Saccharomyces cerevisiae S288C: one gene and its partners. The protein of the gene in region 2 interacts with the protein of the main gene of each other region in a biochemical or structural test. Each region holds a gene or a part of one and is shown on either strand. Other genes may lie near its edges.

Region 1 (11,316 bases), on a different chromosome or scaffold from region 2:
ATAAAGATCCGCCCTTACTGGTCCTGAAATTTGGATTCACCAAGTAATCTGCTGTATTCGGATTAGGCATAGTGAAATACTTAACAATTGAGCCGCGATATTAATGGCACAATAAAACTTTTAGAAATTTCTTTTGAAAAGCGTTTCTCGGTACCTAATGCTGTTCGCGCTCAGAGTTCCGCTGAATTTCGTGTAATGCAGTATATTTTGTAATAAAGTTCTCGTGGCCCGTCCTTGACTGTGAATTTGTGTCAACGGCGTGCTCTATTCCTTGCTTAAACGGTGGCAAAGCAGGACTTCTAGGTCCACTTGAGCTCTTCTTTTCCTTTTCCAACCTTTTTAAATTTTCGTTGCTAGACCAAGTTACCGCTATCACCGCACACGGAATGCGAGAGCGTCAAAAGTGACATAATTCTTCCTTTCCAGCAACATTAACATTTATTTATTCAATAGTGACACGACTAAGAAACTAGATCAATTGCTCTATTTTACTCATACACACTGGCTAATCATATATAGATACAAAGCGGTGAATCAGCGATCGATGAGAACGAAGAGAACTAGGGGTACAAGAAATGTAGGAGCGAGCATGCCTGCCGGCGCTGCGAATGCGGATAGTGAAGACTGGAAAGAATATGTCTCCGAAGACATAATAGCCCAATTGAACAAGCACCAGCTGCCGTATTCTGAAATATTAGATGAGAAGATCGCGGACTTGGCCAATCACTGGCACTTCCAGTATGTGATGGCTTGGCTTTCCAATGTCTGCGAATCATATACTACAACGACATTTAATACTGACCAGTATGGCGGTAGCTCTACCAAATGCTTGTGGAAGAATATCAAATTCGATGAAGGTGTATTTGTAACTGACGTATTTTCGAAGATAGACGGGAAGGACTCGAACTATTACAATGATGAAGTCGACGTAGATGAAGGATCGCAAAATTTGTACGACAGAATTAGATTGCAATTATTGCATCAATTAGCGGGAAATAAAAGCGGGCAATTGAAAGATTGGAATGTTATAGTTAACCATCACTTGCAAAACTCGAGCGCGTATTCAGATTTGGTTACGGACTTACCTTTTTTGGAGCTTGAAATTGCACGCCAATTCGACATCATTTACAGTATCATAAAATTAATTGAAATGAAAAATATGATCTTCAAAAACTACTTAGCGAATAACTTGCATCTGTTTACGTTTAGTGAAGTTATACTGGATGATGATAATAGTGGAGGGGAGGAAATGAAGAGCTTGTTTGCCTTACCCAATGTTGGTGTACTCGTAAAGAAAACCATTCACAGAGTAAAAGAAGGCTCTTCCTCCCAAGTCTCTCAAACTCTGAATATCCCAATAAAACTACAGAACTGTACTATAAAAGAAAGCGACCCAGACATTCCTGATTCAGTGGAGCTTATTCATCTCGAGTACTCTCACGATATCGATGCATATCTTCAATCGATTACAATTGATTATGATGTGATTACAACTAATTGGGGGTCCATGCTAGAATACTGGTCAGAGAATAAAAGTTCGAAAGCCATAGATGAGTTCATAACTAACTTAATACCGGTGTATGCCGAACATAGACTATATTCGGCAAAACTTTTGGCCAACAGAGAAAAGGAGAGAGCAATTGCGGAGCTAATGACAAGGAGGAAAAGATCTTCGAGACTGGTAGCGAAAGAGGAAGAAAACAAGAAAAAAGACTTGGAAAGTGAGTGGTTTGAAAAACTAGATGAAAGAGAACAATTTATAAGGCACAGAAACAAGCTAGTGTCGAAGGAAATCAAAAAGATAAAAGATCTTCTTTGGAACCAATTGTGGCAATTGTACGATCAAGATTATAGAGATGAAAAATTGACCAGGCGTAACGAGCTCAAAGATAGAAGTGGTTCTGGTACACCGTTTTTTGAAACGTCTTTGGGCAGGGAGGAGGACAATCCCTTAAATGAAATCGATATCGGAGTTCTTGATCACGGCCCTAACTTTCAATCTAGTATAATCCCGGTGGAACCACCAATTCCTGGAACTGTTGGGCCACTACAGACGGGAGACGTCCCTGAATTGCCTAGTGACTTCTGCATAACAAAGGAAGAGCTAGATGAGCTTGCCAACTACGGGATCTTTACTCCGCAGCAAGAGCCCGACAACCAAGATTCTGTTTTCCAATGTCCGGGCGAACCAGAGCTGGCGCCCATGATTATCACCGAAGACACGGAGACTGACCTCTTCAATAACCGCCCATTGATATGCTGTGATCATTGTTACAGGTGGCAGCATTGGGAATGCCAACCTCCAAAAATTATAGAGCTTATATCTTCAACCACAAAATCCCCACAGCACACGCTGTCGCAACGTGATTTTGGCGTCATCATAATGGGAAATTCGCACGGCAATAGAAGGTCTTCTCGCAGACCCCAATCCACACTTGAACCCAGCACCAAGTCTTCAAGACCTACTGATAAACGCAAACCGCTGTCTGAATGCTCCACTTTTATCTGCGCTTGGTGCATCAGGGACTTGGAACTTGAGCTGCGCAACATTTTTGTGCCTGAATTGAAAATAATAAGGGCCAAACAAAGAAAACAACAGGAAGACCGTGAAAGAAGAAAAAAAATGAAGGAAGAAAAGAAAAGGCTCGAAGAGCTTGCAAAGAAAAGGGAACTAACCGAGTCTGTCTCACCTCCAGTGTTTAATAATGCATTTGCAAACATGTCAAGTAGCACAACGCCTAGTATCGCCGCTTACGAAAAAACAAATCCAGCCATCAATCCAGCACCTAATGTAAATGCCGCTCACCCCATAATTACATACTCGCAGCAAACTGGCAGCAAAACTGTACCACAAGCACCACAGGCACCACAAACATCACAAGCATCAATCCAACCACAGCAGCAACAGCAACAGCAACAGCAACAGCAACCGCTGCACCCTAAAGAACAGAACTTTCACTTCCAGTTCCCACCAACCAACTAGCCTCATATAGAAATACACAGCAAAAGTATATAGTAAAATATATATCAACTGGTTCTTCATGAAACTTTCTTTTCCAGCCGCACATCCGTAGGGCTTCTGTCGCTTCATGTCGGGTAATAATGATGCTTAGGGCTTAGCGCCAAAATAATTAGGGTGTATGAGGCGGCTCCTGACTAGGGTCAGACGGCATTTTTTCGTCTTTTTTTATCCGGTTTTTCGTCAGTGGCCATCCTTAATGCGCGGCAAAGGTGCTGAAGGCGCCTTATTGTGTTAAAAAAGCCAATGAAATAAAAGTGGGATGGTGAGAACGCCAAACGAGTGAAACAGAGAATGGAAACTCGCTTCTTCACAAGTATTTGATGGCTAGTTTTCTCAATTACTTGTTTCTTTGGATAGACACGAACATACAGAACACTTTCAACAAGACATAATTATAGAATGCTGCTGGACGTGAACACAAATCACACACTAATGCACGATGCTCATGTGCATGAACATTGCCTCATCAAAAGCATACGTGATGATGGCGCATTGCACTCATGGAGCGACTCATCAAAGGTATTTTATCCCAAGTCATTTTACGCTACCGCTACTAATAAGAAGAATAACAAGTTAGCCAGCGCCAGCATGAACAAGACCGCCACAAGTAATAGGACGGTGAGCGATGAGATTTATTTCCACTCCACTAAGCCGCAGTTCGATGGTCAAGGAAGCGCTGAACGTACTAGAACACTAACCAAGAGGAATAGCTTCAAGAGGACTAGAATACTGAAGGCTCGAGACGATTCCGAACTGCTGAACGAAAATCGCTCATCTTTGATGACCCCGTCCTTAAGCTCGGTCATGTCGCAAGTTAGGAAAACAAATTCCGCCAAGACGTTATCGGGCGAATGCCCCATACATGAGGGCCACTTAACACAGAGCATAAAGAGGAAGTTCTCCGAGGAAGCTCAAAGCGACTGTTCTTCATTGAGCTCCTCTAAACTTCATCCCTTGACAGATGATATTGCTGACGCTGTCGATTTGCAGACCCCCGCGATTGGCGATGAGGTACTGGCTGAGCCGGTCGTGCCCAAAATGAAAATAATAAACATAAATGATCTCGATTTGTTCGACGACTGGGAGGTTAAGGATTTAGTCGATATCTTTCCTCCCGTATACGAACGGCGTCCGCGATCGTCCTCTGCCCTTTCACTGGTTTCTGCGTCGTCCGATGCCAAACTTCGTCCGACCTCTGTGGACTTCCAAATCATCGACAAGAAAGGCGGCAAGACTTCAAGAAGGAAGAGTAGGAGCAAATCGACTACAGAAAACATGATTTACGAAAATGACCTGGTAGAATTAGAACAATGGCCATCTGCATCACCATCGCCCGAGACCGACGGTTCGATTGCATCTAGCGAGCTCTTGCCCAATAAAAGAATAAGACAAAAAAGTTTGAATACCAATTTCCTAAAGTTATACTCTATTGAAACATCATGTAAAAGGAAGAGTATTTTACCCGAAGTCGAAGTAGATGACCATCTGTTGAAGCAGCTAACGTATTCCGAAATTCGGTCTTTGGAAATCAAAAAGGAGCCAAATGTCTCTACGAACGATATTAAGCTTGCCCTAATTACTAGGAAAAAATTATGGTCTGACATGGTCCATGAAACAAGAAATGATCTTTTTGGCGATTCTACCCCCTGGAATTTGCACTTTGTTGCAACGACAAGCAATACGGAACCTTCGCAAGGCCGTGAATCCGCAAGCGAACATGCAACGGCGGATTTGAAAAGTTCTTTGGTCCGCGTACACTCAGACGTCAAGCCATGGTTCAACAATGGCGGCACAATGCTCAAACCATGCGGAAAACTAAATTTAGGCAAAGTCACCAATAAGACTTCCGCACCTACGAGAGAGATTCAATATGTCGTAAAGGGCTGGTGTGACAGCAGGTTTCTCTGATAGACCCCCCACCTTTTCATCGCCTTCACCCCACCCATTTGCATTATCTAAAAATAGTAAACTATATATTCTACCACCACATTCATTATATATAATATTTAAAACAACGCATTACCACCAAGCGCCCGGGTAATATTCGCCTCAAACGATCGAAGAAAGAAAAAATGAGGTCACAATAATGATGAAAAAAAGCCCCTCTATGAATTTTCTAGCACTTGACTAAGTTGGAGCAACAGCTATTAAATTTGAAGAACAGAGTGAAAAGCGACAATTTATTAAGCTGTTAGAGCATTGGACTTTTATATTTTTACCAAATGAAACGCTTTAATGGTATGTATAAATATTTCTACACAATTAACAAATGTTTAAAAAAGGGATTATGCGAATGCTCATCCCCCCATGCCATAATTTTACTATGTTACATTCAGTAGACTAACGTTCCATTTTGCTTGATTTTGCATATGGTCTTAGTAAGTTATGTGGAAGTTATAAAAAATGGTGAAACAATATCTAGTTGTTTCCAGCCGTTCCAGAAAAACGAAAACTATGGTACAATAACTTCAGCAAACGAGCAGATAACGCCGGTCATTTTCCATAATTTGATCATGGATATGGTATTACCCAAAGTAGTTCCGATCAAGGGGAACAAAGTTACCAAGATGTCAATGAATCTCATCGACGGATTCGATTGTTTCTACTCCACGGATGACCATGACCCCAAAACTGTGTACGTTTGCTTCACATTAGTAGATATGCCCAAGATTTTGCCCATCAGGATACTAAGTGGGCTGCAGGAATACGAGTCCAACGCTACAAACGAACTTTTAAGTTCGCATGTAGGTCAAATACTAGACTCTTTCCATGAAGAGCTGGTCGAATACCGTAACCAAACTTTAAATAGTTCTGGAAATGGCCAATCTAGTAATGGGAATGGTCAGAACACTATAAGTGACATCGGGGATGCCACCGAAGACCAAATAAAGGACGTCATCCAGATAATGAACGATAACATCGACAAGTTCTTGGAGAGACAAGAAAGAGTTTCTTTATTGGTGGATAAAACTTCCCAACTAAATAGCAGCAGTAATAAATTTAGGCGCAAAGCGGTCAATATAAAAGAAATAATGTGGTGGCAGAAGGTCAAAAATATTACGTTATTAACTTTCACTATTATACTATTTGTAAGTGCTGCTTTCATGTTTTTCTATCTGTGGTAAGTAAATAAAAAAAAAGGGGAGCTGTCCCACGACAATAACATTAATAACGGTTGTATTTCTTTTGTTCCTGAGAGGAAGAGAAAAATAAAATAAAAATAAGGTAAATATTTATAGGTATGTATATGCTCACGATGGCACCATCCTACCTATTATTTCTTATTATATAAACAGTGTCTATCTCATTATGATATTAAATGTATACTTTTAAGGGGGAAAACTTTTTGGTTTAGGAATATAGAAAAAAAGAGATGATATAAATGTTTGCATGTCCATTGTAAATGCATTGGCTAGATATCCCATTTAGCAAAATCTGGGATATCGATATGGAAGAAAGGTAGATTTGTTCCTGAAGCGGTATAAACGCTATATTTTTCAGGATTTTCTTCGCCTTGAGGTACTCTGGCGACGTGATAACTTGTATGACCGGCAACAATGGATTCATCACTGTATTCTTCGTTCAGAGTACCAAATCCTCTGCTAATTAAACCTCTCTTCACCCATGGTGAAATGATACCCACAAAGTGGAATTCAACTTGCCTATCTGCATATTGATTTATGGCCTTTCTCAAATCAACCAATGATTGAAGAGCCGTAGCGTCTGTCTGTGCCACTTGTGAGAAGTCTAAGCATAGTATTTTCAGCAATGGCCTGTCATCTCTTTCAACATCGACTGAGGTGCTGGGCGCGTTTTCCATGGATTCAGGGTCGTTCTCCCTTTTCTTCCAGAATTTCAAATTCTTTAAGAAAGCAGGTGCTTCCCATGGACCAGGATCATTCCATGGACGGTCAGATTTTTTTCTGTGGCGAATTAATTGACCACGTCTGGTAACTTTTTTAACTTCTTCGGTTATGATGTTGTAGTGTCTGGAACAGTTGAGATAGGTGTAGCTCTCTGATAGCCTATAAACAAGAACACCGTCTGGTGGGGGGAGAATCTGAACGTCCGGGTTCAATTCTCTTGTGTATTTATGATCAAACGGTATCCATTTAGTATGGTATTTTATCCTTGGCTGGCTAATCGAAGAAGATGGAGAATCAAAGCCCTTTGTTTGAACGTTTGTTTCTATTTTCTTGGAGGAATTTGTGACGTATTTGGTGGAACTTTCCTTGTCATCCTCACCACCATCTTCTAAAGTGGAAATACCATTGTTATTTTCAGACACGTAGCTAACCACATCGGAGTCCGGTCTGACGTAAGCATCAGTAACTTCAGCGACTTCCACACGACCCAAGAATTTTCCCGCTGGGAAAGCCACTTTTAAAATGAGCATTGCACATGACCAGCACATGGCAAAATAAATACCATCTTCAATAGAGGCAAATACCGTTATTAGGACGGTGACAATGAAACAGATGAAGTCCAATGGATTCATCTTCCAGAAATTCCAGGTAGTTTGATAAGAGGCCAAAAGATCAGATACAGCGTGAATGATAACTGCAGATAAGGTAGCCTTTGGAATGTAAAAGAATGCGCCGGTCAAACAATATAATGCTAAAAGAACACATGAACCCGAAAACAAACCAGATAACGGCGTACGGACATTACATTTAGCCTTCAAAGCAGACCTTGAAAAGGAACCAGTCGCTGGGTAAGCATTGAAGAAAGTACCTAAAAGGTTCGAGACACCAATAGCAATCAATTCTTGGTCGGGGACGACTTTATAGTCGTTGATTCTACCAAAAGACTTCGAAATAGCGATATGCTCCAACAATAACACAATAATGGATGCAGGCAAATTTGGACCAAGCTTAGACATTAATCCTGGTGGAACATGGAAAACCCCGACTTCTTTCAAACCGGATGGAACTGAGCCTAGGATGCTGATGGGCCTCTCCGATTTAGATTTGCCTCTTGTGATTGCCCAACCAATACAAGTGAATACAATAATAATGATACCATTTCTGGAAGCCTGAGCGTAAAAATATGTCCATTTGATAATTTTGTGTAACCTTGGGTTTTTGGAGTTGTATCTATCGTTCAACCTTGGTCCATATGTTCCGCACCACCATTTCCAAACATAAAGAAGGAAAAGCGGGATTAGCCCAAAAACTGCGTCCAGTTTGGTATCTGGTAAATGTTTCAAGGTCTCTATGACCACTTTATAGGTGGCAGCTCTCGTGTTAACCAAACTATTGTAACCCATTAGTGCTGGAACTTGACCCCATAAGATATTAAACGCGGATCCAGTCATAAATCCAGCGACTGCATTTAAGGAAATCAGTTCGACAAGAAACCCTAGACGCAAGAAGCCAACTGCTGCCGAAATGATACCACATAGTAACGCTAGAGTCGTTGCAATAACGGGACCAGTTATGGCAGAATCTCCATCAGGATATTTTGCCGTGACATCCGCAATGACTTTGGCGGTCTGCAAAGACATGACAGCCACGGGCCCAATACAAACATCTTTTGATGTAGCGAAAAAAGAGTAGGAGTAAGCACCAATAAACGAGGAGTACAACCCATACTGCGCTGGTAGCGTGGCGACTTGTGCATATGACATGGATTGCGGCACGAGAACACAGCCAATGGTAATTCCTGCAATAAGATCCGCAGTAAACCAGCTAAAATTGTAATGTGGTAGCCAGTTGATGATGGGAAAAACACTCTTAAGATAACTACATGCTCCTTTCACCGTGAGATGAGATCGTATACTGTGGTCATAGTACTCTTTTAGCGATACCGTTGTTTCTTCAAATTGGGAAACGGAATTGTCATACAACGAGACATCTGAAGGATTAAAGTAGTCAATCTTCGAGCCTTTTACGCCCTTTGAGCTGTTCACTGCGTTGTGCTTTGCTACAGAATTGCTCTCTAAGTCCTTATCATTAAACGTGTCATTATTTTCATTATTTTTATATTGGTCATACTCTAATTCTAAATCATCAAGATCTGGAACGGTGTTGTTAGTTTCCTGAAAGTCAGGAATTTCTACCTCTTCAAAGTTTGGATAACCTTCCCTGGACATATCTTAGATAATTCCCTGCTAATCTATACACACACACACCTCAAGAAAGAAAAATGTTACAGAAAGATAAAAACTTCCAGGCTTTAGTACGAGCCTAACCTGTTCAAGTATTGTGTTGATACCTTGATATATATATATATGCGTATTATTGAACGCAGAACACTGAACGGCAGATCATCCCTCAACCGGCTATGACTAAAAACTGGACTTTGGTTCAACCATACCGCTATCCGACGTTGCTAGTTTCTGCGATCTTTTTCAGTCCTTGTTTAGGACCACAACTGTGGCCGAATTTCTCTCTTCACGTGACCTGACACGGCCACAGTGGCACGTGACATTTACTCCAGTATAACAGCCAACAACAACTAATCAACTTCCCACCGGGTGCAATGAAACATCAAAGGCTCCGTGGTGGAGTCGGCATTAGTAGTCGTATATGCCCTTGCACAAGCTCGCATATAGAGCCTTCTAAGGCGTCGCTCTACAGTCTCGTCATAGAAGACGGCAGTCAATGCCAGCTCGTTCTCAGGAGAGAGCGGGGGGTTTTCTATGAAGAGGCTCTTGTAAATATGAGACAGCTGTCTTGCGAAAAGTTGGGCAATTTGTTTGGCCGGAGAAACTTCGCCAAGAGCGTTCCTGACAGGAATTTGCACGCCAGGGGAGGGGTATTTTTTGTGATTGTAGCTTAGATGACTGTTCGCTATTAAAAATTTGTAGTGGTTTCCAAGAGAATTTATCAGGAATATCCTCTCTGGTGTGAAGGTATCAAGATCTGTCCCACTCAGACGCATTAACGATGGCGGCGTTTGGACCCAAGGGTTTTTAACGTTAAACAGTGTTATCCAATCCGCCTTCAGCCAGACGCTCCTTGAAGACGTTGAATTTAGTTTCCCATTGTTTACAGCGATGGAATCTACCAAGTCTCTGTGGTTCTCAAATGGCCAGTGAGTCAGTAGAAAGTGGTAGTGTTTTTGGAAGAGATGCGCATGTCGTGGGAGCGGGTTATTCCATTGGAAGTGCGTTTGGTAAATGATACTCTCCAGTGCTTTTAAGCTTGCCCTTAAATCTTGTCTTCTTTGCGCCTTCTCGTACAGTTGTAGTGATTTTGTTAACGGCACGGCTATTTCTTTGAACTTGTAATCGCTTTGTTTACTTGTGAGTGTGGTCGTCAATGCTACCTTGGTTATTTGATGAAGCGGCGTAGACTCTATGACCGGCAGTAATAAGGCGTTAACCTGGGACGCCATTGTTGCTCCAAGTTCGCAATCGCTGTTCTGATAGAAGGCCTTTGTATGCTTGCTTTATGTCCGCCGCGATGGGGATTCTTCCTATTTTTCTACTGAAGGTGCGAAAGACTTCATTCTTCACCGCATTCAGTAAATGAATTTCATATATATACATATATACAGGTAGGATAACTTATGAAAAAAAAAAAAAAATAGAATAAAAAGTTATTGATGCCATCATTGGATACAGCAGTACGAACTTCTTGCTTTCTGATGCGCTGAATCCTGTGCTTCTGGCTTGAACGGCCTTATCCCTTCTGGAAGATCGTCCGTGTGAATGATCCGGAAATTTGATATAGTTTCGTTGTTAGTCAGGTTGCTGTCATCTTCAGTATTTACAGTCGCATGTGAGGCACAAGATGAAGATGACGGCAGATTCGTTTTTATTGCTAGTAGTTCTGATTTTTCATTGAACCAGTTATCTGGTGGAAATTCAATATGAACGAAAACATACAGATCGCCGCACCGGCCATGAGGGTTATCTAAAATGGGCCAACCTTCATTGGCGATTTTGATGGTGTCACCAGGTCTTACTACTCTGCCAGGTTTAACGCTCAATGTTAGTAACCTGTCGTCGAAGGTTTTTGTCAAAAATTTCTCAAATCCCGTCAAGGCCTCGCTTAACGATATGGTAATGCTTGTATACAAATCTTCCCCGGCGCCGTCGTCAAAGTTCTTCAAAAAGATTTGCTTCTGCTCCAAGTTTTCTTGTTTTTCAGTGAGATGGAACTTTAAATCACCACATGTGGTCTTATCGATTTCCTCGTCCGCCATCCCCTTGACTGTAATTACGTCGTTAAAGTGGTGTCCCGGAGCCACGTTCACTGTGATGATTTCCTTCTTTGACAGGAGCCCCAAGCCTGCGCAATCGGGGCAAAAGTTCTTTGGATTCTTGGGTCTTTTAGTGTACTTCC
Region 2 (9,971 bases):
CAACAGATATTTATCATCATACTGGTTTAAGCAATCACCCACTAAGTTTTCCCAGAAAGAGCTTTTCGAGTAATCAGCGTTCAAAATCGAACCCGCAGATAGTTCTATAACTTCTTGAAGACCTAAAACAACAATATCGGGTTTAAATTTTTCACCGATTGGAAATAACCACTTTGATAAATCAACTTTTTTGGTTGCGCCATTAACATTGAATGATCCTATTAACAAGTTAATGTTGGAGGTTGATGTGAACTTATCAGACATGCTTTGTAATTTCGTACTTACGTATTCGTTTACGGGATCATAAAGTTGCACTGCTTTCTGATACGGTAACCTTCCCAACAAAGTATCGATATTTTGTTGCTTTTCTTTATCCATGAAATTGTTAATATATATTCTGCTGACCGATTTTGTGGCGTCTGATAATGCCCCAGCAAGTGACATTTTACCTTTTCTTGAAAATGAGGACTTCAAAGCATTAGTACCAGTATATATTTGGGAAATTTGATCACCGTGATCAGCCCACAGGGTGTTATGTTTAGAAACGAAATCATCATCGTCGATGAACGAATTTGAACTAATCAATCGGAAATCTTCGAGAAAAGTTCTAAAAGCAGCCAAAGAAATAATTTGCTGAGCTAAATTTGTTCTATCCAAACAATCTAAACAGTTGGTCCTAAATATGCCATGTTGTTCAGATATGTTCTTTTTTTCTCTAACATCGTAAGAATAATAGCCAGAAGATAAAAGAGAGTCCAATATTAATGGAATGAGTTTTCTGACACCGGAAAAGCCTTCTTGCGAAGTTTCTTTATGAAAATCGAATTCTGTCAAAAATATATCTTTGTTGAAGTTCAATTTTTTTGAATGAGTTAAATGCTCCTTGTATCGTTTTGAAAGTTCAATTTCAGAAGATTTCGTTGATAACAAATTAACGACATGCACAGGTCCGTACTTTTCCACTGATTTCATGATATGTTTGTCAAATACCGGTTGGGTGGCTTCAAATGATCTTGTAATTTGTACTCTTGGATTGATTAAAGAGGTACCTTGCTCCCAGAATACAGGTATACTGCCTCTAATCTGTGTAAAAGCATAACAGTATTGGCTAGAATACATAATGAATTCCGTTTCTACGAAATTGGCAACGTTTGCCTCATCATCCACACCACGTGCATTAAATCTTGTTCCTGCTCTTTTCCAGCTCTGTTTCGAGATGATAGTAAGAGCAACTTTCAACTTCTTAACGTACGAGACGAAAGTTTCCGCAAATCCACGGATAACTGTTGTTAAAAACCCCTCGTCATCCAAGATTTGTTTCAAATTTGTGTCCAAATGATCTCTGTATGTGATCATTTCTTGCATGAGAAAAGAGTTCCACATATATTCTTCTTCGTAGGTATCTGTACTCAAAGAATGCTGACCATATCCACGATGCTGTAAGGTTGAGGTCAAATCAAAATCTGAACTATAATAAAAAGATCCATTGGATAATAGTTTCTTCAATTCATAGCATGGATGTTTTGGCAAGGCGTCTTGATATTCAGTTGAAGCAGTCTCCGGCAACACAGGATAACCTGAGGAGTCGATTTCAATAAAATCCCAACTGTTGTCATTTAAACAAAAAAAATCGACAGCAAAAATTTTGTTCACAGTCTCTCCTGGGCATGGCTGTGCAACTTTTGATTTCCCAGTGATGGCACCAACAAACAGCAGGCCATTAACCTCAATGAGTCCGATAACACCAAAAATTTCGTGTGATGTAAGTCTTTTGAAGCCATATTTTTTCAAATCATTTTTTTGAAGAAGTTCAATGGCACAAAGGGGTTTATCAGATGGCTTTTTCCCAACCGGTTTAAGAACAAGAGCATACAAGTTGGATACAATGGCTAGCCTCCTTTCAGGTTCTTCTGAAACAAAGATAATCATTCTATGAAGGAGTGGATAACTAGATATTCTTCGCCCCAGTTATTTTCTTTCTTCCTCTTAAGGTACTGCTAGCTTTCTTAATATGATATTGGATATTGACTGTTCTCCCTTCACAAAGTCTCAAATTACACTACTCCTAGCTCACTCAACAGTTGCAGTAGTGCTCGAAAAATCCCTATTCGGATTCAGTTAAGATTATGCGGTGGGTGGGCCTGGGTAAAATGTTTCACGAAAGGAAATGGTACCATGGGAAAAAAAGCAAAAAAAAATAATAAAACTATAAACGAAAGAAACTTTCCACACAGACATCGAAGAAGTGTTTGGAAACTTCGCTGAAAGATGTCTTTTTAACGTGAAATAAGTTACTTTTCTGTGCCATTTATAAATAAAAATACATATATATATAACATGAGTAATCATAAGCTACTCCTTTCTATTACTCTGCCAGTAGAACATCCCCGGAATGAATAATATTATTGACAGTAGCAAATACCGCCTTAATAGATGCATCCCCAGTGTCTTCGGAGACACCAACACCCCACATATTACTAGTAGCATGATTATTGATGTCCTTTATGTAGGAAAGATTTATGAAAGATGCCGCTTGGGTTGCAGAACCAGAACCCAAGGAATGTTCAGAGTAGTTTTGAACGCTCAACTTAACATTCAGTAAATTGGATAGCGCATCCACCAAAGAAGAGATAGGACCATTTCCGTAGCCTTCGATGTTGACAACCTTATCGTTGATTTCTACCTGGCCCACTAAAGCTCTACGCTCTGGGTTCAATTTCTTAACTTCGTAATTCAACAAGGTGACGTATATATGTTCATTGTTGTTGTAGTTGTAAGTTTCTTTGAACAATTTTGTAATCTCTTCGGATTTTAACTCTCTTCCTAAGGCATCTGCATTTTTCTGTAGAGTATTGGAGAAATCAACTTGCATTGGTCTTGGTACATCTAATCCTAGAGATCTCATAATAACCCAAGCAGCACCACCCTTACCGGATTGAGAGTTGACTCTGATGACGGCTTCGTAATCACGTCCAATATCCTTTGGATCCAATGGTAAGTATGGAATTCTCCACCGAGTTTCTCCTTGAGCCTGTTTCTTGTTTTGGATTGCAAATCCCTTCTTAATTGCATCCTGATGAGAACCAGAAAAGGCAGAAACAACCAATTCACCGCCATATGGGGCTCTTGGGGGAATTGGAATCTTGTTACAGCGATGGACAATTTCAGAAATTGAAGTTAAATCTGAGAAATCTAAATTAGGAGAAACACCTTGGGTATACATATTCATGGCAACTGTAACCAAATCAACATTACCTGTACGTTCACCATTACCAAATAGACAACCTTCTACACGATCAGCGCCTGCAAGCATACCTAATTCTGTGGCGGCGACACCGCAACCACGGTCATTGTGACAATGCGTAGAAATACAGACCTTCTCACGCTCAGTAATGTGGGTAGAGAAGTACTCAATTTGATCAGCGTAAACATTTGGAGAGGCAACTTCTACAGTAGCTGGTAAGTTGAAAATGATCGGATTTTCCTCGGTAGGTTCCCAAGCCTTTTTAACAGCTTCACAAATTTCTACAGCAAATTCACCTGGCGTATCACTGAAACATTCGGGAGAAAACTCATAGGACCAACGAGTAGCTTGCTGGGAAGGGTCATCCTTGGTTAGTTTCCTAACCAGTTTGGTGGCTTCTACAGCTTTAGAAATAGCTTCCTCTCTAGACATATTGAAGACAATTTCTCGGAACATGTCACTTGTGGCCAAGTAAGTATGTATGGTAGCCCTTTTAGCACCAGTCAATGCTTCCACGGTTCTTTTAATCAAGTGTTCTCTAGATTGGACAAGACATTGAATACCAACATCATCTGGAGCGTTTTCTACAGCATACCTGGTGAAGTCGAAATCTGTTTGAGATGCAGAGGGGAAAGACACTTCGATTTCTTTGAAACCGATGTTGATCAACTTGTGGAAATATTCTTTCTTTTGAGCCACAGACATTGGGTCCGGTAAAGATTGATTACCGTCCCTCAAGTCAGTAGACAGCCAACGTGGAGCCTTTTGAATAGTTTTGTCAGGCCAAATCCTCTTGACCATTTTTGGTGGAGCAAACGCCCTATATTTTACCGATGGGTCCCGTAGCATATTTTTATAAGTCAGTTTGACGGGTGGGATAGACCTTCTTAGTTTACTAGCATGCTCAGCTAGCGCTATGAACGAATGTTTTACCATGGCTACGCGGCTAAATGATAATGTGCCGATAGTATTATCCTAAGGAGAAGACCCTTATAAGCCGAAAACAAGGATTGTGATTTCGTGGAGTAAAGTAAGGCATTATTGAAATTTAACAGCTAACTTCCAATCAAGCCAGTAAGAGGCAAAACTATGTTGTAGTTGTGATTCTGGACATCGTTTTTAATTTTTTTTTTTTTTTTTTTTTTTTTTTTCATTTTTTGGCAAGGCCGAAAGAGATGGAAAAATATGAGTCATTCACTACGACCGTTACCGGACCATGATGGCGCGCGGCACCAAAATAGACGAATGAAGTATATAACAAGCGCCATGCAGAAGGAAGAGCTAACATTAATTACTATACAGATAAATGTTTAGTGTTTGAATATGACAACATATAAAAGAAGACTGTGCCCAATGCTCTTATTTTAAATGCCTGTGAAATAATTATATGCAGTGTCATGTACGTAAAATTAAATAAAAACTAAAGTTACAAACAATATGAGCGTGATGAAATGAAGTAAATTGTGTGAAATGAATTAATATGAAACGAGGGAACTAGCCAGAAAAGCGGATTTTCTATCGTTGTTCTACTTAATCAAAGTTCTAATCTTGATTAACTGATATCATGCAAATTTAGCTTTTTAAAGCCGTTTTCAACGCTTTTTTCATTTTTACCGATCGCTTTATTGGGTAATGGCGATGAGGATGAAGATATTTGTGTCTCCACAGATGATGAAGAGGCTATCTTTGTTGATGACTGTTTTGTCCTTTCAAACGGTTTTGAACATTGCTGTTATAATGGCTACAAATGACGCCTGAAGGCTGTTTGAAAGATTTCCGTTTTTTAACAAAGTTAAGTTTTTGCAATAAACCTTTCCCCGAGTTGAGAATTCCTGTATTTTGCGGTTTTTGCAGATTTCTAGTGCTGGTATTCTTGTAGGTCGAGCTGGTAGTGTTGAGTGAGGAAGAGGACTCGCTTGGCCGAGAAGTGCGATCGCTGCATTGCGACTCATTGGTCGTGTTTGCAGACGTTTCTTGAATGATAGTTGACAAACCATTGATATCAGGCTTCTTAAGATACGAATTTCTATCTTCAGAAATATCCTCCACGCCTAATGACGAAAAAGAAGTTGTAGACTCGTTTTTGAGATCTTGTTCCGTAGCAGAGTCATTGTGGGCATATGTGGCGGAGTACTTTTTCTCATTAACAGAACTCACAAATCGGTGATACCCGTCCATTAATAGGCCCATCACATGGCTAATGGCACACAGGACGTCTACGTCGGCAGGTACTTCATTGTTAGCAAAGCACTTCTCAAATATCTCCCTAGTATCCTGTGAAAAGTTGCATTCTTTGGGGGAGTCCACGGCAATGTATTTTATGTACAACGACTTGTTCCAAACTTCCAAGAGCTTCTCCTCGCTAATACTCCTGTTTTGCTTAAGCTGGAGGAACTGATGAGCTTTTTCGAAAAATTCTAAATTTTCCTCACAATGAGCTCTTTTTAGAAATTTGTAAAACTTTTGTATTGTGTAAGGAGAACGCATCCGTTCGTGATGCCCTTTTCGCAGTTGAATCAGCACTGTATTGCTACTTTCAGCATCGCCGTCGCTGCGACTATTCTTTTCTAGCGGTATCAGTATGTCGCATAGACTTGGTACACTCGCCATCTGGCATGTGCTGAATTTTCTTCGTTTTATGTATCAAAGGTGCCTTACCTAAGATGTTTTGATATTTATATAGCCAATGTAATATTTTTTTTTTCTTCTCTTTCCTTGCCTCGTCGCTTGAGTTGTTTGCTTTTAGTGATCACCGTTGACTTTGTAAAAATCCGTTTAGTCAATTTTGGCAACTGGTTCAAGCAATGTGCAACGGAAATGGTATAGATGTGATGTGGTATAATATGTTATTAATTTGATTACTAGCGCCTTAACTATCTTTATTCAGCAAGTTTTTTTTTCATCTCCACAAAGGGACGTTTACAAAGGGTATCCCGAAAGAGATACTACATGACGACGTCATATATACGTATATCTCAAGAAAAGAATTGTTAATGATTATGTTTTTTTTTTCTTCTTTCAATTTCCTTTTTCTGATTGTGCTAAAATGAGCGCCGAGCCGCTTCGATCGGGGTACCTGCGCACTTTTCTAGCGGTTCGGTTCGGCAGTTCTTCCCGAAGCATTTAACGCAACCTTGTTCCTCATTCTCCAGCAGGTCTGTGCTTGGTGCGCGACTTTAGCTGCAACGGCGTGGGTGTGCCGCAGCGGACATTTCTTAGTTAGATGTCATCTCGGCTGGACCGGGACGCCACAGTAAGATTTCAAACTGCTGAAAATTTTCGCCAGCAGAATAGCCGCTACTATCAGGCCGTAGCGACAGGATCGTGCCCGCAATAACGTACACATCGAGGTAATTATGCATGATTTCTTTTTTTGCCGAGAAATTCTGCCATTTTTATTAATCCACGCTCTGTCCTTATCTTAGTGACAGGCAAGGATGTTCTGCAAAAGCGAAAATTGAAATAAGATAAATACTTCCGAGCCAGACACGTTCTTATGTTTATCAGGGCCCACAAGGTTCATTTAGAAGACAACGCATACAATGTTTTGTTTCTTGATAACGGTTGGCGGCCGTTAAGCAACAGTAAGGCAAATGACAGTTAACGGAAAATAACAGGGTTCTTACTTTTTACATACAGTAGCACAATCCTTTTTTTATTGGCAGTCGCTAGTAGAAATTCGTGGGGATTTACGGACTACTGAAAAAAGGTCAGTGTAGATCGTACAAAGTAGAAAAAGGAAAAAGGGCATATCGAGCCCTTGCATTTAAACTACGGAGTACAAAAAACACAGGTTGCGCACATGGGAAGTGCACTATCACTAGACATCAAAGGAAATTTTGAGTCAAAAAGAGCGGCTAAGAAACCCCCCTACCACAAAAGAATAAATGCAAAAAATAACTTATACACTCTTATACACTCTTGTTTTCGTAAATAGATAAGATTGGGTCTACCAGAAAGTCTGTGCTCAATGCGCGTTTAAGGAGATTACTAACTTAATACAGCAAGCAATACCACCATGCACACAACTATTATAATGATTAGGGTGACCTTACCGCATTTGTTACGGTCCCTCTGATGCTGGTCTGCTCTGGTTAATTGTTTGTTTGCATTCTGCATGTTATCATGTAAATGCGAGATATTCTCGTCTATGGTGGTTACTTGTTCTCCCTGTTCTTTCACTAATGAACCGAGCTGATGGAAAATAGCATTGACTTCTTGTACCGCCGTATGAATGCGTCCTATCTGTTGGGATCTTTCCTGGTGAATGATTGTTTGAAAATCTAGTTCTTCTTGGGACAATCCTTGCTGTTGTTGTTCTTGTTCTTCTTGCAGCTGTAATTGGTGTTGTCCTTCGTTATGCAGTAAAGGACTCTGCTCGTTTACTTTTATAGAAATATAACTAGACTCTGGATCTTGTCGCACGGCTTCAGTTCGCGGATGGATGTCTTTTCTTTCCTTAGATGTTCCTGGTGAAATAGGCGTTTTTAGAGGGAACAGACTCTTCCTTTGATTGTATGATTGTTGTAGGGATTGATACTTCGTTTTCAGGTTCTTGAAATCAGCAGACAACTTTCCATTTTGGTGAATGAGGATGTTGCTCTCAATTTTATCCCTTACACTGGTGCAGTTCGGTATTAACTCTGTTTCAATTTTGTATCTTAGTTCTTTGGAGTCCCGTTTGGAACCAATTTTGGTGCATTCCTTTTCCAGCACGCGGGATTGTTCAGCGAATGTCTCAATTAAATTGCTTAATTCCTTCGTTTTTTGATTTGTTGAGAATTGTGGTTCTTGCTGGGAGTTACCCTTTGAAGATTGTGCTTCGATGTCGAAAAAGGACATAATCTCAACTTTCTGCAGTGGATATTAGTTGGCCAATTTGTTAATGCTGATCCCGTGGTTTTTTATTGTTCTATTTTCCTTCCTTTAATCTCCTGGCTGCTTTCTTTACATCAAAATCAAAATTCACTACAAAAATGTATATAGAGTTTTTACTGCGCATCTCGCGAAAAAAAAAGTTGTGATGTGAAACTCGAATATGAGGCTGAACGAATATTATCATTTGATTATAATAAGTATTGACTTGTATGATCTTAGTTTTGCTCTTCCTGTGTCCTCGTCAGCACCTAGGTAAACTATATGTTACAAATAGATCACTTTTATCCTGAGGAAAACAACCTAATTTATTGTACATACTAACTGACCAAGAGGAAGTTCACCATTGACTGCCCTTATTTGCATTTTAAAAGTTGCGGTTTCTGGTGTTACCTGTTAGAAGGCACCTTTTTAGCAACCGGTACAAGGAAAAACTCGTTGGAAGATTTTTTTTTACTTTCCTTTCCGTAAACGCAAGCTCACAGTTATTCCTGAAGAAATTCCTAATTGGTTCTTGCAAAATCTACCAATGAATCCTCTTGATCTTAAAATGTCTGACTGATTATTCAAAAGAAGGGGGAATATATATTTACCTCATTAGTAATATCTATCGCTTTGGTTTGGTTTATATCCCTGATATGATTGATAATTTTCGGTTGGATATGGACTTCTATGATTAGAGGAGGGAGTATTGTAACTGTTTCCCTGGAGGTTATTATTGATGTTATTATTATCGTAATAATAGTTCTCGCCATAATCGCTGATGTCAAAAATTGGAGATTGTGAAGCAACATGAGCGTTGTTGCTACCAGTATTGGCCGCATTTTGGATAAACGAATTTCTAGCATCATATTGCGGCTGAGGGCTGCTACCTTCGAAATTTTCTTCTTCATACACTAGAGGGGCCACCCTACTAGGGCTGCGTCCTTCTTTATTTCTTTCCTTCTGTTGTTTTTTCCTTGTTTTCTCTTTTTGTTTTTCCAAATCGAAATCTTCCTCTAATTCATACACCTCATTACTGGGAGTTTTGACTTCGTCGTAAAATGTATCATTCTTCGCATCGTTTCTATAATACGCACTTTCAGGTTGTTGAATAGGCTGATAAATCACAGTAGAAGGAGGAGCCACGCCCATATTAACTCTACTAAAACCCTCATTTACCGGCATTGTATTGTTTCCATTTCTGTCATTAGAACAACGACAACACCAACAAATGAACTGACCTATTCCTGTTACCCCTTGCCTGAAACATGTCAGTAAGCCCCCAATCAACCAAATCACAAGAATACAGGCCAAAACAATACCAACAATCGCAATAATTTTACATGCTTTATTGTCCATGCAGGTGTCCCAGCTTCGGAAACTTTTTCCTGTACTTACTACACCATCTGTAAAGGACGATCTCGGAAATAGTGGTACTATTTCTTTCAACTTGCAAACGTTCATTACTGTGTATACGCTTGGGAGTCTTTGATTATATTTCTAGTATTTTCTTGAAACGGTTATTTTGCTAAAAATAAACAAGATAAAAAAAATCTAAAAAGTCACGACCGGGGGTGGTTATTCTTGATCTAAGTAGCAAATATGTAATATATTTGAAACTTTCTTGCGCCCCTTTAATTTTGAAGTTCTTCTAGGCTTTTATCCAGTTCTAGAGTAGAAGTTGCGGTTCCAGTAGATCTTGAAGCTTTTTCGAGATGCATCATTTATATTTTTCCCCATTTGGTTATAAGAGAAGAGGCATTTTCCTACAACGAAAAATAAGCATAAAAAGGGCCACGTTCGTAGCAAAAAAAAGCTAAGACTGATACTTTGTAGCAAGAAACTGAATGAAAAACTGGGATTTTCATTT
Region 3 (3,600 bases), on a different chromosome or scaffold from region 2:
TCAAGGCCTATGTACATGGTGCTTAAATATGCCTTTGGTGCATCTTTAATACTTTCTTCCTCTTTATTTTCATCTGTTACCAGTTTAAGGGCGTTCAGTGCTGTCTCAGTTTTATGACTACCGTATTTGTCTTGAATCATTTCATAGTCATCCTCGGTTGGACAACAATAACTACTTTCAAAGGGTTTGGTGAAAGGATGTGCAATTTTTATTCCAGCTAACACCTCCAGTTTCATAACTAGAAGCCTTACCTTACTTTCAACAAGACCACTCCATTTTAAATGCTGCTCGTCACTGCCCCTTGTATATGCAGTAATTTCTAAATAGAACTTGTATCGAAAGAAAAAATCGTTTTTTTCGAATAAATTGGCCCAGGACTTCTTATTGGAAAAAATATCATTCGTAATTTGAACGCCTCTTACGAATTCCTGTAAAATGACTTTTTTAGTAGATTCCGTGATGTTATGGGTAGCACACATTGATGGATAAGCTGGTGTAATGACGGGCATTCTATGAGACCTGTCTTGGGCATATATCTTTGGATTCCATACACGAACTTGTAACGGGCCATCCTCAATTGGTTTCAAGATAACAGGTTGTGGCCAATTCCATTCCGACAAAATGATGAAAAATCTGTTCAATATAACTGCGCTACAGGCGTTAGGGTATAGTTGACAAATTCTAGCCACTAGCATGGCCCAAGCCACACCACCAGGAAAACCAAAAATATTAGCATAAACAGCCCTTCTTTGGGCCCATAGCTTAATAGCTCTTAAAGCGATTCTGAAAACATTCGGCTTTGGTACCAGTTCTAATATCTCATCTGTTACTCTGGTACCATTCAAAGCTCTCAAGTCCTTCTCGTCTAGATTTCGCAGTAGATTTTTATCTGATAAAGTCAAGGATAAAGGCACTTGAGGTTGGTCTAGACGTGCACAGATTAAATCGATAGAAATACCACTGAACTTTATCTTGATAATCGGGACAAACGCATCAGGTACAGGTGCAATTTCATCCAGTTCCTTCCTCTCTCTCAGTAGTGAATCAAATACCGTAAAAAAATCTTCCCGAGTTACATGTTTTGGAACAACTACCAAAGTATCGATATCACTACCAGGCCCATGGACTCCTAGTCTATAGGACCCATACGTAAAAATCTTCCCACCAGCATCCCTTGCCATCCCGTCTGACATATTTTTCTTCTTCGATACTTCATAAACAAATCTTTGTGCCAATTCCTGCAATATTTTCAACACTTGTACCCTATTGGCAGTTTCTTGCTCTGTTTCGAACGATCCTTCCTTTTTCAGTTCTTGGATTAAACTATCATTTAATTTATTTTCTGCTGCTGTGGCGCCCACGGTGGAAACAGGTCCAGTAATACCAAAAACCTTTTGAGAGCTCATTATTTGTCTAAAAAAAGTTTATGCGTTAAATATTTTGCTAATTCTAGGCCTCTTTTGATTCAAAAAAGACCGTTTAAAGACTTGCTCACAGTGAAATTATTTAGCTAGTTTAGTGTCTTTAAACTTTTGCTAAAACGTTTCACTTGAAAAATCGTTCTAATATCGTCCAGAGGATAGTATGATAGCTTCAGAGAATTCGATAGATACTTGAATCCTCTAATAGTCGAAAAATGCTCGAGGGTAAACCACTTGTGCGCTTGGACTGGCCTAGTTTCCAAAACCAATGTTCTAATGGATTGATTTCTTCCCCAAACATTATTAAGTGGCCGGGTCACCCAAAGACTTGGGCGCCGTTGATTCGCGTCGCTTTGCCATCAAGAGAACAACATATCTTCCAAGACAGACCGAGATAATTCATCTATTTACTCCTAAAAAAGAATTAGAGAGGCCTTTTATAGCACCAAAATAAGGACCGTACGAAAACTGCACATTTTATATTATCAGATATCATGGATGAGCATTTAATTTCTACTATTAACAAGCTTCAGGACGCTTTGGCGCCCTTAGGAGGAGGATCTCAATCTCCTATTGATTTACCACAGATCACTGTTGTCGGTTCCCAGTCGTCAGGAAAGTCGTCCGTTTTGGAGAACATTGTTGGTAGGGATTTCTTGCCAAGAGGTACTGGTATTGTCACCAGGAGACCTTTAGTGTTACAATTGATTAATAGGAGACCAAAAAAGTCAGAACATGCTAAAGTAAACCAAACTGCTAATGAATTGATTGACTTGAACATCAACGATGATGACAAGAAAAAGGATGAATCAGGAAAGCACCAGAACGAGGGACAATCTGAAGACAATAAAGAGGAATGGGGTGAATTTTTGCATTTACCTGGTAAGAAGTTTTATAATTTTGACGAAATTAGAAAGGAAATCGTCAAAGAAACTGACAAAGTGACAGGTGCCAATTCAGGTATTTCTTCTGTGCCCATTAACTTGAGAATTTATTCTCCGCATGTTCTTACTTTGACGTTAGTGGATTTGCCTGGGTTGACGAAGGTTCCCGTAGGTGACCAACCTCCTGATATTGAAAGACAAATTAAGGACATGTTGTTAAAGTATATTTCGAAACCAAACGCTATCATATTATCTGTTAATGCCGCTAACACCGATTTAGCCAACAGCGATGGTTTGAAGCTGGCTAGAGAGGTCGATCCAGAAGGAACGAGAACTATTGGTGTCTTGACAAAAGTCGATTTGATGGATCAAGGTACAGATGTCATAGATATTTTGGCTGGAAGAGTCATTCCTTTGAGATATGGTTATATCCCAGTTATCAATAGAGGTCAAAAGGATATTGAACACAAAAAAACAATCAGAGAAGCCCTTGAAAACGAAAGAAAATTTTTTGAGAACCATCCCTCTTACAGTTCTAAAGCTCATTACTGTGGTACACCATATTTGGCTAAAAAGTTAAACTCAATCTTATTACACCACATTAGGCAAACTCTGCCAGAAATCAAAGCGAAAATCGAAGCCACATTGAAAAAATATCAAAACGAACTTATAAACTTGGGCCCAGAAACTATGGATTCAGCTAGTTCGGTTGTTTTGAGCATGATTACTGATTTTTCCAATGAATATGCCGGTATCTTGGACGGTGAGGCGAAGGAGCTTTCCAGTCAGGAACTTTCTGGTGGTGCTAGAATTTCTTACGTATTCCATGAAACTTTCAAAAATGGTGTAGACTCTTTGGATCCATTCGACCAGATCAAAGATTCTGATATCAGAACCATTATGTACAATAGTTCAGGTTCTGCCCCATCTTTGTTTGTCGGTACCGAAGCTTTTGAAGTTTTAGTTAAACAGCAAATTAGAAGATTTGAAGAACCATCTCTACGTTTAGTTACTCTGGTGTTTGATGAACTTGTTCGTATGCTAAAACAGATTATTTCACAACCAAAGTACTCAAGGTATCCTGCTCTAAGAGAAGCGATTTCTAATCAGTTCATTCAGTTCTTAAAGGATGCTACTATTCCTACGAATGAGTTTGTTGTCGATATCATCAAAGCTGAACAAACTTACATCAATACAGCCCATCCCGACCTTTTGAAGGGTTCTCAAGCAATGGTTATGGTGGAAGAAAAATTACATCCTCGCCAAGTCGCTGTTGACCCAAAGACGGGTAAACC

Evidence for each region.
Region 1: the proteins of VAM3 (region 2) and NYV1 form a complex in vitro, tested with the Saccharomyces cerevisiae proteins (11 studies listed by BioGRID).
Region 3: the proteins of VAM3 (region 2) and VPS1 form a complex in vitro, tested with the Saccharomyces cerevisiae proteins (3 studies listed by BioGRID, with this or other methods).

What each region holds. Positions count from the first base shown.
Region 1 is NC_001144.5:321,344-332,659, reverse strand, and holds NYV1 (Nyv1p), read left to right. Parts: upstream 1-5,244; coding exon 5,245-5,260; intron 5,261-5,401; coding exon 5,402-6,147; downstream 6,148-11,316. Other genes in the region: serine/threonine protein kinase KIN2, read right to left, coding at 1-70; IOC2 (Ioc2p), read left to right, coding at 545-2,983; GIS3 (Gis3p), read left to right, coding at 3,422-4,930; SUL2 (sulfate permease), read right to left, coding at 6,435-9,116; GEP5 (Gep5p), read right to left, coding at 9,482-10,363; XDJ1 (Xdj1p), read right to left, coding at 10,580-11,316. UniProt on the Saccharomyces cerevisiae protein: Vacuolar v-SNARE required for docking. Only involved in homotypic vacuole fusion.
Region 2 is NC_001147.6:517,236-527,206, reverse strand, and holds VAM3 (SNAP receptor VAM3), read right to left. Parts: upstream 8,087-9,971; coding exon 7,235-8,086; downstream 1-7,234. Other genes in the region: phosphatidylinositol-3-/phosphoinositide 5-phosphatase INP53, read right to left, coding at 1-1,929; 2-isopropylmalate synthase LEU9, read right to left, coding at 2,366-4,180; GTPase-activating protein RGS2, read right to left, coding at 4,925-5,854; YOR105W (uncharacterized protein), read right to left, coding at 8,686-9,012; PIN2 (Pin2p), read right to left, coding at 8,717-9,565. UniProt on the Saccharomyces cerevisiae protein: Required for vacuolar assembly. Provides the t-SNARE function in a late step of the vacuolar assembly. Required for homotypic vacuole membrane fusion, autophagy and fusion of biosynthetic transport vesicles with the vacuole.
Region 3 is NC_001143.9:441,038-444,637, reverse strand, and holds the start of VPS1 (dynamin-like GTPase VPS1), read left to right. Parts: upstream 1-1,915; coding exon 1,916-3,600. Other genes in the region: polynucleotide adenylyltransferase PAP1, read right to left, coding at 1-1,406.